Arabidopsis thaliana: one gene and its partner. The protein of the gene in region 1 interacts with the protein of each later gene in a pairwise test. Each region holds a gene or a part of one and is shown on either strand. Other genes may lie near its edges.

Region 1 (8,476 bases):
GCCAAAAATTGGAGTTATCCTATTTCCAAGGAAACAATTTGCAGACAAGAAAAATGTGCCAAATTATTATGCACACGAGTCATGATGAGATTAGGAATAAAAAACACATCTTATCTTGAGTTCATTGCAAATTGGCAAAAAGAGACAAGCGTTGTCGCTTCAAACAACTCCCACAACACTGGGAACTAAATACACAATTGAAAATAAACAAATATATTGGCAGAAGAAAATACAATTAACGTAGAGATTTTTGAAAACAAAAAAAATATTATCTTAGATAATTTATCTAATATGAGATGGTTTTTTTTTACATTATCCTTATACTGCATGGAGTATAATATGTATGTGTTTACTTGAATGTATGAGCAGAGATTGTTGACTAGTCGAGAATCTGACACCTATCAAAAAACCAGCTACTCAATTTGAACTCCATTACTCTAAAAATTATTCTAAGCTATGCATGTTGTGCGATATCATTGAAACTAGTAATCTTCAGATCAATATTGGTGGTTTCGAACCTTATTTTAAACGACTTTTTGATTTTTCTTGTTTCAACTTGAATTAGAATGATTTCAAATCATACATTTACAATAGATTTGTATATTTCCTCCACGAAACCGAAATTGTATCATATTATGAAAAATCTACGTTACAATCTACATAAAGTTATACATATATATATATCTATACATTACAAAATCGATTCCTTTTACTTGAAGAAGATTATACAAACCCATGTTATGTAAAACGACTATGAGTTGAAATCAAAGTTAGTGAGCATCTCCAACGGTTTGCATAATTCTTAGAGACAATGAAGCCAAGTAAATAACCAAAAGCCCTATGCCCATCACACCACCAAGCCTCATACGGTTACTAAACAGAACCAAGAACGACCATACCAGTCCTGCGACCAGAAATCCAAGACTCTCCAACAAACGAGGATCTGTCTTAATCACAATGCTCAACGGATAAGCCTCCCATGCACATCCCACAAGCGATATCCCGAGAGCAAACAATGTATTGAAGATCGGACCGGCGTAACATCCCGATACAGCCACTTGAGCTCCTTCGTTCCCATCGTGTAGCGCCATTGTCAAGTTGGTTATTAGATCTCCAATTGAATTACCCCAAGCGAGGACCGTTAAGCCTAAGATCGAAGGGCTTACACCGAAAATGTATCCTAGTGAGGTCAAAAGCGCAACTAGCTCTTGTGCTGATATGTAACTCCATGTCATGCTCATTACAAACCCTCCTGCTAACCAAGGCAACAACCATTTCTTTGGTGGGGTTAATTTCTTCGTCGTGGCTCCTGCAATGAAACCAAGAGCTATACCGATCAAACACCCGATGAGATAAACAACCCCCGCCTCAAAACTCGTCGGTTTCCGCTTCCAGTTCCATAAAAACGACAACAGAACCGGGGCAAATGTGACCGAGGCAACAGCTAATGGTTTAGACCATTTGTCTTCACTCACTACAGGAATTGTTAATATCCTTGGCAAGTTGAGAGGCAGAGTGATAGCCCAAATGACCAATCTTTTCCAGTAATAATATCTCTGGTGATCATCATCATCATCAACAATCTGATGCTCTCCATTAACAACACCATCTTCAATTTCCTCAAGACCGTCTCTCTGCAAGATTGGTTCACTAAGACTACCACGCTTATGGATTGACTCAAGATCAGATTCAGCACCTTGATCTCCACCAAATCTCCAAGAGAGAACCACAAAGGCAACATAAACAGCATACAATGAACAAAACCCAAGAGCACCCCAGAAATTGATCTTTCCATAGACCAAAATCAAAGCCAAAGAACCAATAGCAGCACAGAAGAAGCAAATGTCTCTTATAAACGCAGCTCTCTCAATCCTCACACGTCTCTTATGCAACGAAATGCTAATGATCCCAACAACAACACAGGTAACAAAACCAGAACCTCCCACAACAGTGTTGAGACCAACATCATAAGTACCTTTAGATTCTCCCATGAAAGAGACCAAACTTGCAAACAAATCAGGAGCACCATTACCAAGCGACAAAAGAGTAACACCAGCAACAGTTGGTGACAAATTAAGCAGCTTTGAGAGACTTTCAAGAGATGAACAAAAGTACTCAGAGGCCGTATGACCCAATAGATAGAACAAGAGAAGCAACCAGAGGAAGAGAAGAAACTGACCCAAAATTGGGAAACCTTCGAAATTACAGTAGAGAAAAGAGAGGTAATCGAAGAAACCTTGACTAGCACATGGATCAATCGATTTCAGGTAAGCACACTTTGATTTGTAGTCATGAAAGTGCTTCAGGGCACTACAATCATGCTCTGATTTAGGTCTTAGAGCACTTGAATCAACAGGATTCGTGAAGAAACCCAACAGAAGACAAGAGATAACGAGAAGGAATGTGACTGTCAAGTAACCAAAACGGTTTGAAGAAAATGAAAATCCCATCAATCAGCTAAGACCTGGAAACTCAACAAAAAACGAAAAGAAACAAATCAGAACAGAGCAAACGAAGAAACAGATAAAGTTTGGTTTTTTATCAGAGAGTCAAATTGAAAAAGAAGATATTTGGGTTTATTGTTGAGAATCTATAAATGGGTTTACTCCATAAGAACAGATCATGAAGAAAACAGATTAGATAAACACGAACTATACGCGGAAAGAGAAAGATAAAGCACTGACCTTTTTTAATATCTGGAAGATGAAAAAGCAAAAAAGGGATCGAATTTCGAAACGAAGCTTTTAAAGGAGACGAAGCGAAGAAAACACCCACAAACACACAAAACAAACACTTTAACAAGACCTGACGAAGACAAACGTCAGAGACAAAAAAAAACAGAGGATTGAGGAATACTATTTTTTTATATAAAGAATCTGAAAAAAGTTTGTCACTTTGTCATTGCCGTTTTGGGGTTAGGGTGATTTGGGTTTTGGAAATGGCTTATGTGTCGGCTTCACGATGAACTGTGCGTCATTTTCTCTTTCCATTACGTATGCGAAGAATAGGAAGACGAAGGAGGGAGGGTTAGCGAAAGGATACATAAATTTAGAAGCTTTTTCCACAAATTAAATATTACTATAAGGAGCTGACCCAGCAATATTTAGTATTTAGTGCTGATTCCTTAAGCCACTAACTATGGAAAAAATAATATAAATATTCCGGTTTGGTTCGTAATCAGTTACCGGTTTAAGGTTAACTTACATATAAGAAACTAATTTAAAGGATGTGGTCAGTACTGAATTGATGTTTGTTTATTCCAACAAGTAAAACTCTAATCTATAACAGTCATTTTAATCTAATTTTATTAGTTGTGAAATAGTTATTGGTAATTGAGTATAAACCACAACCACCGCCTTTATTCTGTTACTTCCAGTTTACACAAGGCAGAATAACTTGAAATGTAATTAAGAGAAAATTAATTCAATAATTTGGCTTTCTATTAGCTCAAAATTACTTCCTTTATATAAGCTGAAACATCTTAATTCGAACGTATTTTAAGAAATAAGTATACATGGATATTGAATTTCCAAATAGATTGAGACAGCCACGATCATAAAGAGAAAGTTCCCAAAAAGAAAAGACAGAAAGAAACAAGTAGAAGAAGCTAATATAAAAGGAAAGTATAGTGTGACAAGATAAAGTTAATAATGAGGAAACTAATAGTATACTCCACACAGTCACACAAAGATAATTGTATAATGAGGTCGACTGAATAAAGAAAAGAAAAAAAAGTGTGGTCGACTTTTACTACTAAAACGAGAAAGTCGGTCGAAGGATTAGGATTTAGGACACGATTTTTGTAAAAATATTTAGGGAATTTTTCAAATAAAATCGAACAAAATATAAAGATAAGAGGACTTATTACGAGTGTGAATTGCAAATATTAAAAAAGTACCGAGTCATTTAGAGCAACGCGGTCTTCAAACGCGTTTTGTTTTTCTTTACTTTTGTTTACATCTTTGCATTTATTTTGTGATGTTATTCATTGCTTGAGAGCTAAGTGAGTAGAAGCGATCCATTAACACAAGAATCAGCACGTACGTGTACGTCCCCTTCGACGGTGATATTTGTTTTTACCTTTTCTAGTTGATATAAAAATCTTCGTTTACTCATGGAGATCAGATACTATCTAACATCAAACCAACAAATCCTTTAATCTATATATTGTTAGCTATCATTTAAACTTATGCCTTAACATATAAAGTTGTAGACTAGTGTCTGATTGTTTTTTTAAAAACACTCTTTTTAATTGGAGCTGAAATATCTTAAAAGTGAACACTTTTAGCCGACGTCCACCTTTAGACAAGAGGCTGACTCCAAAAAGATGTCCCAAAAATAATTGATGATGGGCATTCATTATGATAAAGTTGGCCCATAATCTTTTTTATGGATCCATTTGTCCAATTCAAATTTATTGATTACTGTCACGTCCCATCCTTTTTGATGTTTATGGGCTCGGTTTAGATACCCGGATATCTTACCGGTATAGTCCGGTTATGGGACCTCAACGAAAACTGAGACATATGAACGGCGATCCCTCCAAAGTTATCACCTACCTTCTCCAATCTCTTTTCGATTTCGAATTTTCCATCTTTCGATTCTCAGTAGTTTCGTCTCAATTTCATAATTCCATTGTAGCCGATAATGAATTCCGCTTTAGATTTTGCTTTTCCGGCTACATTTCCGGTTAAATCGAGTTCTGTTGGCGGACATCGGATTGCTTCCCCTGGATTCAGTTCCCGCTTAAGATTGTGCTCTCTTCCTCCTTCTTCATCTATCAAGGTTAAATCTCTTTTTCCACTTTCTCCCTCTGCTTCGATTTATATCATTTTCAGCTGGATTTTTGTTTAGAATCGTATCAGTGTCTTGTTATTCAAATTTCTGCATCTGAAATTAAGTCACTTGTTGGAATTTTAAAGCTAGTTTTCCAATGGAAATCTGAATCATACAAATCCACTTGTCCTGACTTGTTTAATGTTGATGATGATTGTGACTTGTGAGTACTAGCAATAGTGAGTATCAGTATACAACATTTATATGTTGCTTCCAAAACTCCGAATCCTGTGAAGTTGTATTGTTGCTTAAGTTGTGGCAAAATAGAAACTTTTCTGCAAAAGTTGAGTTATTTTCCCCATTCCAGTGTACTTTCATAGACTTGTCTCATGATGATGATGATGATTATGATCTGTTAGCGTTAGTAACTATAATTAGTGACAGATATATGTTTATGCTATGACTTCAAATGTTGAGTATGATTGCACAACTCAGAACTTGTTTTCCATGTTTGGATTTTCCGGGAAACATCTATACATTAGGGTGACTGAGAAAGTGAAAAAAAAAAAAAGTGAAGCTTATTTCTCCTGGTTTGGATGAAACATTATTTGCTAAGTTGAGAATAATCTTTGGATTCTTAGGCTGAGTCATGTTTAAAAAGAGACGTGCACAGGCAAAGAAGCAGTCTTGAGTCAATGTTCTGTTATGATAAACCAATACCAGAGGAAATAATCGAGGAGCCAGTTGGATTATCCATGTCAGAGAGAGAGATTGGTGATAATCAGCGTTGCACTTGTTGTGAAGCTAAAGGTGCATTGCTTTGTTCCACTTGTTCTGGAACTGGTCTATATGTAGATTCCATTATGGAGAGTCAAGGCATCATTGTTAAAGTCCGTTGCTTAGGTAAGCCTCTCTTATCCTACATGCTCTACTTGTTCTATGCAAATTACCTTCATCTTAACCATTTGTTGCTACTGTTTTAGGTTGTGGTGGAAGTGGTAATATTATGTGCAAACTTTGTGGTGGGCGTGGTCACGTAGGACACTGATGACTCCGTGTTTCACTTGTTTGCACTCATGGTTCTGTTTTACCTATTCGCCACTTTTTCTAGCTCTGATCTTATTGTAAAAGCCTACTTTTTTGAGTTCCATACATAGATTTGTGTTCTTGTACTGATGTAATCTCTAGCTAAACTATGCACAATCTTGTCCCAGACTATTCATTTTCTGTTGTTATATAAAATGGTTTCCTAAGTGGCTGTGACTAAACCATGATTCTCTATCTCTTTTACTGCTCTCTTTTAACTATTTTATGCAATCAGATACATAAAACGGATCAAAGAGCAAGAAAATAAAGCAGGGAAAGGAATCAGAACTGAATCATTCTCATCTCACTTTGTATGTACATTTTCTTCTCTAGCTGCATTTTTTGCATATAAAGCTAAATGATCTACAATCTATAGAGTCTATAAGCTTGAAAAAGCCTCAGTGTTGTGAAAAAACGAAAAGAAACGAAAGTATTTTTCTCAACTAAGTGGATACCATCCGTATGTGAGCTCTCTACACGTGTGTTGGAACGTCATCATCTTCCTGCACTCTATTATCCTCGACTTCTCTTTTTGCCTTTTCGATTTTTTGTCGCTCGATACGTTGTGGAATCGTGTCATCAAACCTATCGTTCTGTGGATCTTCAGAATAAGCTACATAGTAACCCATCACACAAGCTTGTAGCCACGCAGAAGAAACTCTCCCCTGAAAACATACCAACAAAAACAGGTACATAAGGTTACACAGTACAACCATTTTTGATTCTCTTCCTGCATTTTGATAAGAAGATCTTACCACAAAGTATCCGATGATGAAAGCATAGATAGTCAGCTCAAAGTAGTGATCCTTATCGATCAGAAGCTCCCATACTCCTGCAGTTAATGCAGCGATTGCACCAATTCCCATGGCGCTAAAGAAACAGATGGAGCTGGTGATGTCAAAATCAATCAACTGCTCAAATTCAGGGATTGTTCTAAACCTCCTCCAGGTATCACTAGACGCTTGCCTTAACCCTTTGTTGTGAGCTCCCACGTGAACAAATCCATATCTATTTCCACCCAAAATGATATGATTGGCAATCCAGTTGCAGCCTGGGGTACTTGCATAAATGTCCCGATTACAACACCGAATCGTTCCCCTAAAGAGTACAATAAGTGGAACAAGTGTTGAACCAATACAAACACTCCCGAGCTGCTTTTTCAGAGTGACGCCAAGAGCATCACATGCATTCATGAGATCATCACGGCTAAAGTATACATATATGGCTTTCGAAATCGCGACTTCTTGTACGTTTTTGATAACCTGCATTGTCCAGGCAAGGTTTATCACGATGATGGAGATGAAAAGAATATCAAGACGTGTTCCTGTAGCAGTAGCTCCACCGATTCCAGCAACCAAGAAATCAGAGTAAAAGACGCTTATGATCACTGATACAACTGCTATTGCTCTGGTTCTTGCGGGTAATATCCCTGTGGCGGTTGACATCGTCTGGAAGGTGAATTCATGCCTGTTCGTGACGTGAAGCGAACCATACACTGCGGTGACGATGCTATAGAAGACAAGAAGTGCACCTATCCATAGAACGACGGGATTGGATTTGTCGAGGAGAATTAGGAAGAGCCCCACGGAGATTGTGAATAACGGTGTGAACCAGAACGTTGCTTTGACTGTGGCTCGTATGTTGCAGACGAAGAAGCAGTTCCAGGCTATAGAGAGGACTCCGGAGACAGCAACAGAGGATAACAGAGGAGTGTACCATTTCTTGGGATGGAAGTTTGGTGATTTGGTGCAGACGAGACCTCGTAGCGTGAGAAGGATCACAAAGATCGAGATTAGGGTTAGTTGCGTGTAGAAGATACAAGTGAAGAGGCATCTGAAGAATCTTCCGGATAGTGTTTGCTGTTGCGGTTGCTGTTGCTGTTGCTGTGCGGCGGGAGGAGTTACTGGTTGTTGTTCGATTTCCTGCAAAAAAGCAAAAAGATAAGATGAAGAATGTGGAGACACGACGCTAATGCCGATCGGGGAAGAAGAAGAAGAAGAAGAAGTAGAGTAAGAACCATTGAGAAAGACGAAGGTGGGTCACGCACGTCACGGTTGAGGAAGACGAAGGTGAGTCACGGTTTTCTTGCGGCGGAAACGGTGACGAAAAGTCAAAGAGTCGAAGAGAGCGAGAGATGAAGGAGAAGAACCGAGAGAGTTAAAGTGAAGACAGAGAAAGAAAGAGACGAAGAAAGAGAGAATGAATTTATATAGACAGAGGCAAGGGAAAAGGAGAGAGATCTTTTTGGTCTTGGTTCTTGAAATCTTCACGTGATAAGCAAAAGGCCGTTGTTTGTTGTTATGGGTAGTTCTTAAAAGTCTCTATAATTTCGATTTGAAATTGATTTAAGTCTCTATCGCTCTCTCTCTTTCCCCAGTGTTTCCTCGTATTACGTTTCTTGGTACACAAGTTTCACATCCTACATCATTTCGTTGTGATATTTGTATTTTTGGCGTCATGTATTATTATTATATTATATACAACTTTCCAAATCAAAATCATGTATTAATCTGAAATTGATTAATCTGTGTAACTTCGTTCCATTAATGTATTTTTTTTTTTTTGACTCGTTACTACATTAACATAACAATTTGTAGTCATGTGTGCATGTATG
Region 2 (6,038 bases), on another chromosome or scaffold:
TACCTTCAATAACGGGTCTTAGACCAGTCATGGCAGCTCCAATGCCCATACCGGTGAATGCATTTTCACAAATAGGAGTGTCGAGAACCCTGAGGTCACCAAATTTATCAGCAAGGCCTTTGGTTACCTTGTAGGAACCTCCGTAATGGCCAACATCTTCACCCATAACACATACATGTGGATCTCTGTCCATCTCTTCTTCCAGACCTTCCTGAAGAGCCTCGAAAAGCAATAGTTCATGTCTGTAAATTCATACGAGAAGATTGGTCACACTTTGTATTTTTGACAAAAAAAAGGCATCATCATGACACTTATATTGAATATGAGCATGGAAGTTTAAAGGTAGATAAAGAAAATGTGCTATTTGTGACGACTAATACATGAAAGAAAATGCCATGGTGACATCATCATGGATTGCTTATGTGAAAATGAAGACAACACACAAACCCCTAACAGAAACATTCACTAAATGGAAAGTCGCATAATATGTAACAGAAGCCTAACCAATTGCCGTATGATGTCCAGAAATGTTCTTGAGAGTTAAACTATGTTCATGGGAATGAACTAAATGGTTTAACGGTTTAACCTAAACATTTGGCATCATAAGCACAACCAAAGGCATCACTAGAATGATTACTGGAAGCAGACATGCAACACATTAAGCTTTTGCCATCACTATCAACTATAGATTAGTGTTTTGACTACTCTAGAACTGGCTAGGATCCTACATCACCACACCCAATAGCACATAGTTAAAAACTTCCTCATCGTTATCCAACTTTGAATCCCCACTAAAATGTAATAAAACTACTGAAACAATCTAATCATTTAGAACAGAACATGAAAGATCCAATTAGAGATTTGTTCAAGCAGTGTCTAAATCCTTCAATGAGCACAAAAGAGTAAAATCAAAATCGAATTTGCAAAGCTAAAAAGGTGCAAAACAAACCCAGTGCTCGCAGACGTATCCGCCTCCTTCGTCTACAAAACAAAAACGTACATCATTAGAGATTAGAAGGAGAAACCATAAAAATCACAAAATCGGAGACAAAGACATTACCGCAACAGCATTTGGAATCAATTTCTGAGAGTGACGAACTCTAAGTCCAGAACCAAAGCTCTTCTTACTCGCATCAGATCCAGCCACTATATATCTCTGGCTCCTCACTGCATCAAAATCAAACAACGAAACTGCTTTAAGATCTCACAAATCCATCTCAATAGAAGCTCCAAAACACCAGAAATCGAAATCAGAGAATGCAGATCGATCATCAAATAAAATTCGAACCTGAAAGATTTGTGCGAGAAGGAGCAACGAAGAGTTTCTTGGAATCGACGGAATTAAACGTCGATAACGTCGTCGTAGCAGCTCCAGCTCCATGGATTATCGAAGACATTTTTTATATGCTCAAAGCTCGGGACAATTTCGAAGAATTTTGGACTGTTAATATAAATATATACAAGTGTATGCAAACAGAAAATGGCGATACGAAACAGTGACAAGCGGAGAAATCGAAGAATTAAATGAAATTGTCGAAATCGAATTAAATTATGTGTATTGTTGTTGTGCAATCAAATCCACATGTTTACATTGTTTTCATCGAACTCATGTGGCTTCTCTATTGTATAACAACCAATGTTAATTTAACACGTGTTACTTAACGACTGGATTGGCACGTGTACGTATATGATTTGTGGATTATCACTGGGTTTGCTTAACCACCTGGACCAACCTAATTACGTTAACTGTGAGATTTGAGGTTTCCACCGATCTAGGAGTTGATGGGCCTCAAGTGTCTTGGCCCAGTAATTAATAGATCAGTATTATCCAGTAAGCAAATTTTCGTCAAAAAAGAACTTTTTTTTTTCTCCACAAAGAACAAATTTTCATAAGCGAAATATAAACGTAACTAAAGCATTTACATTGAGTCTCTCTAGTCTCTACCAATATATTGTTTTGTATATTTTATACTCTGATTTGTAACACATATATGGTAAAATATTATTTTAATGCGATTATAAAAAATTTACCAATCAAATGTATGCAGTTATTTATTTTATTATCTGATTTTTTTTTAAAAAAATTATTATCTGATTTTCTAGTATGCAGTTTTCATTCTACGAGTTTTAGTTCTGTGAATTCTCATAATGCAAATTTTTATAAATTTGAGAGATGATTTAATTATTTATCCATATGCAAATACATATTATATACAGTGGTTTAGTAACGTCCACGCAACAGCCACGATTATACGATAAATACCCTATGATAATAACTGGTTGCAACATTAAATAAAACAATCCTTTTTGGCTTTTGGGTCCACACAACACAATAATATACTGTCACTGAAGATAACAATGGCCTCTATGAGACAAATTCTAAATTAATACTAACTTATAGCATTTTAAAACGGCATTATTAGATTCAAAAATAATAAAAGTAAATTACTCGTTAAATTAATACTTATCGTTAAACGTGGCATTAAATCATAAATATACCAAACCTCTGCATTTGAAGGGTCATCAATGTCAATCTCTGATTTTTGAAAAAGATCAGATAGAGATAGAGAGACAGAGGTAGAGATATGGAATTGCTCTTTCTCCTCTGTTCAATCATCTACACTTCAATCACTTCCATCTTCTTCTCTCTTCTCCTCCCGTTTCGCTTCCTTCTCCACCGTCTCCTTCCTTCACGCGCCGCCGTCGATCCTAATGTCTCTTTCTACGAAGGCACAGTCTGGCACGACCGTCTCCGTCCTGTCCGCCACTCTTTCCGTTATTCCGTTCGTTACGCACTCTTTGACCTCGACAAAGCTATTAACACACCGCCGGATCATTTCTCCGCCGACGAAGCTCGCCGTGTTTCTCGTACCACCGGGCCAATGTAAGTTTGTTGACTCGTCCAAGATCGGAAGAATCTGGATTTTGATACCTAGAACTGAAACTTTATAATGCGTAATGTTTTTGAGGAACAAACAAGATTTGAAAGATTCTGTTGATCAGGAGTTAGTTAGATTTGCAAAATTGAGTGTTTTTTTTAGTTTCTGTTTGGTTTTATGGTTATGTTTTGCTCTCTAACAGTGTAGTTTGGTTGTTTTTGTAATGAAATTGTTAGGTGAATGAATCTTTATCAGTTCAGAAATTGTAATTGTGATAGAGGAAGTAGTTTTGATGAATCTGTAATTTTTTCGTGGTGCAGATTTCTATTGACAATACCACCAAGCGTTGGATATGAACAAAACCCATTGAGTTTATACTATTGCTATGACTTGGAAGGGTCAAGTAAGCGCTTAAGTAAATGCATTGCTCAGGTATATGAATCAGAGGTTTTTGTTGTTCCTCTGTTTCTTGCTTATGTCTCTCATAGTAATGAAACCTTATGGTGCATTGGCTTTATTGGTATTAGTGTCTCTATCTATTGATCTGATTAGAGGAATTTTGTAGGTTACAAATACGCCGTGGGGGGAACGAGTGACATTTGTATTTGACCCTGAATCTGACTTGGTTGCTAAATCATTACAAGTCAGTCCTTTCATGGTATGTTGTTGTTCTTTGATATTATTAACTTCTTTGATTGATGTTTTATCAGTTTTGTGTGATTGATTAGAGGTTAAATAACCTTTTAGGATATGCTTGGGAATTGGAAAATCAGAGCTAATGAACCTGGAGATGATTTATCTGTCTCCATTGCATCTCAACATCCTCATTTCGGTAACTATTTCTCTGCGACATTAAAGGCGAAAAGGATACCCCTATCGCGGGTGTCTGATCCCGCTGTTTTCTTCTGGTTGATGCCTCATAAGGTTGCGATATGGATCTATTGGCATGTAAGTGACTTATATTTACTCAAAAATCGTTTTAAGTACAAATACTCAAAACGTTGATCAACTTAACGTCATTTCGTTGTTTAGGCACTTCAACTCTGGTGGAAGAGTGTACCTTTCATTCAACACCCGAGATACTCGAACCCATCATACAGGGAGGAAGCAGCGAAACGCGATCAAGAACTTCGTTGCCCCGGGTTAGATGGGTCTGATTCTGATAAAACCAACAAATTTGATGGGTTAAAAGGAGATGGTTGTAGTAGTAGTTTTGGAGGATGTCGCTTTGCGTGGCGAGATGCGAACTGGCCTTGGTCATGAATACATACACTCTCAAGGTAATAAACACACTATCTTTTCACTTGTCTAAAAATGTTTAAAAACCTGAACTGATACTAACCTATTCTTCATACCTGAAAATGACAACAAATTATGTTCTATCAAATCCTGAAATATGAAAGTTACACCCATTTTTGGTCTTTGCTCAATGAGAAAGATTTTGCAGGCTTCTTTTCATCCTTGGAATCATCAGTTTTCTCTTTTGATTTAGGGGGTAGCAGATCATCAAGAGTTTCGGAATTTACGGTCATTGTCCAATGATATGATTGGTATAAATCATTTGAAAATCTCGTCTCAAATTTAGTTGGCTTGTTTAAAATTTGGCTTGAACACAAGTGAACCTTGTTGATTAATAGAAAAATCAACTTTGCATTTTGATTGATTCGTTTGTAATAATTCTCATCTCCGAAAATCCTAACCTCTGTTTGTTGATAAGTCTTCATGTGATCATGTGACTTGATTTCTTGCAAGTTAAAAATTTGTATATATGTATACGATATATACTCTTACCCTTAGGTCTAAAAACTTGTGTTACTAAACTAGGTTGTGATTAGTCGATGGTATATATTGATTTTTCATGTATTTTCTTTTGAGTCATTATAGAATTTAAATGGCAGCTACAATGGCTCTTTTGAGTTTAATTTAAAGCTGTTGACAAAAAAAAATAGTTTAAAAGAGTATTTATTTTTTATTTAAATAAAGTGTGTTGTTTATTATATTATTGAGTTTGTAGTAGTTGTTACCCTGTAAGATTTCTTTACTATAAAACGAGTTTTTGATGTAATTTGGATTTGTGGTTCTTATCAATTTACGCAGGACTCAAATTTGTGGTTCTAATCAATTTACGAGATTTCATCAAAGTTAACACTTCCATATGAAAAAATGGTCAATCACCAATAAAATACTGATTTTGGGATCCCGAAATCTATTCTTGTTGAAGCTTAGTGAAAAACTGATTCTTGGATCAGCCTTTTGACTAATTTTGTTTTGGTTATACCTTCTTTTTTCAAAAGTCTTATCATTTTCGTTTTTTGGTTGGGTTGAAATTTTTCATTTTGATGTTCATAGGCTCATTCAATAAATGATTTTTATATCCATAAAAATAATTGGGTTACGAAAGCATAATCCAACAAATTTACAGTTTTCTTTCCGATATTTTGTTATACAAAACAATTTTTTTCTGACCATTTCTTGGTTATTTCTAGTAAACTTAAATCGTTATTTTTTAACTTTTTGAAAAATCATTATTTATAGAGCAACAAAATGATTATCACTATTCCAAACAAATGAAAGTTACAGATATAATCAGAGTTATCAGACCGAAATAATGTTGGACTCATTCTGAGTCAAACCGTGCCAATTGCAAACTTTACATCAATGTGGTAGATAGCTGCTTTATGTGTCGATTGTTTGTTACTTTGTACAACACCAACCACATGTTAAGTTCGGTACCAAAAGAAGAGATTTTATTCATTTTGATCAAATCATTTGACTTATTTAGTTTTTGAATATCGACGATTTTATTTTCTATATTGTCGGTATATATCGGCACATCTAAACAAGATTTCGTCGACTACTTATGGGCACCTAATCAAGTTATTGTGTGAAAAGTAAACGATATTTATCAAATAATAATCAATTGAATGGTGCATGGAGAACCAACAAAGCAACAATTTTTGATTACTTGATTAGCAATCAACCTATAAATGTTTTTTGATAATCTAATAGCAATCAACCTAAAGACACGTGTTTTGACTCTCCTTTTTTTGTGTGCGTTTCTTACCGCAAAAAGAATATATATAACAGAAAAAATGTTTAGTTTATCAGGGCAAAAAGAATGTTTATTATTTTATAAGAGGGGAAGAAATGTTTAGTTAT

Evidence for each region. The genes of interacting proteins can lie anywhere in the genome.
Region 2: the proteins of AT5G17840 (region 1) and PDH-E1 BETA interact in a two-hybrid assay, tested with the Arabidopsis thaliana proteins (one large-scale study listed by BioGRID).

What each region holds. Positions count from the first base shown.
Region 1 is NC_003076.8:5,893,227-5,901,702, reverse strand, and holds AT5G17840 (DnaJ/Hsp40 cysteine-rich domain superfamily protein), read left to right. Parts: upstream 1-4,411; 5' UTR 4,412-4,647; coding exon 4,648-4,785; intron 4,786-5,417; coding exon 5,418-5,679; intron 5,680-5,759; coding exon 5,760-5,824; 3' UTR 5,825-6,050; downstream 6,051-8,476. Other genes in the region: AT5G17850 (Sodium/calcium exchanger family protein), read right to left, coding at 771-2,450; AT5G17847 (uncharacterized protein), read right to left, coding at 2,916-3,044; AT5G17830 (Plasma-membrane choline transporter family protein), read right to left, coding at 6,336-6,527, 6,618-7,784, 8,256-8,321.
Region 2 is NC_003070.9:10,585,081-10,591,118, forward strand, and holds the start of PDH-E1 BETA (pyruvate dehydrogenase E1 beta), read right to left. Parts: upstream 1,601-6,038; 5' UTR 1,398-1,600; coding exon 1,289-1,397; intron 1,168-1,288; coding exon 1,061-1,167; intron 982-1,060; coding exon 950-981; intron 243-949; coding exon 1-242. Other genes in the region: AT1G30130 (DUF1365 family protein), read left to right, coding at 2,586-2,884, 3,200-3,311, 3,445-3,537, 3,627-3,827, 3,912-4,142. UniProt on the Arabidopsis thaliana protein: The pyruvate dehydrogenase complex catalyzes the overall conversion of pyruvate to acetyl-CoA and CO(2).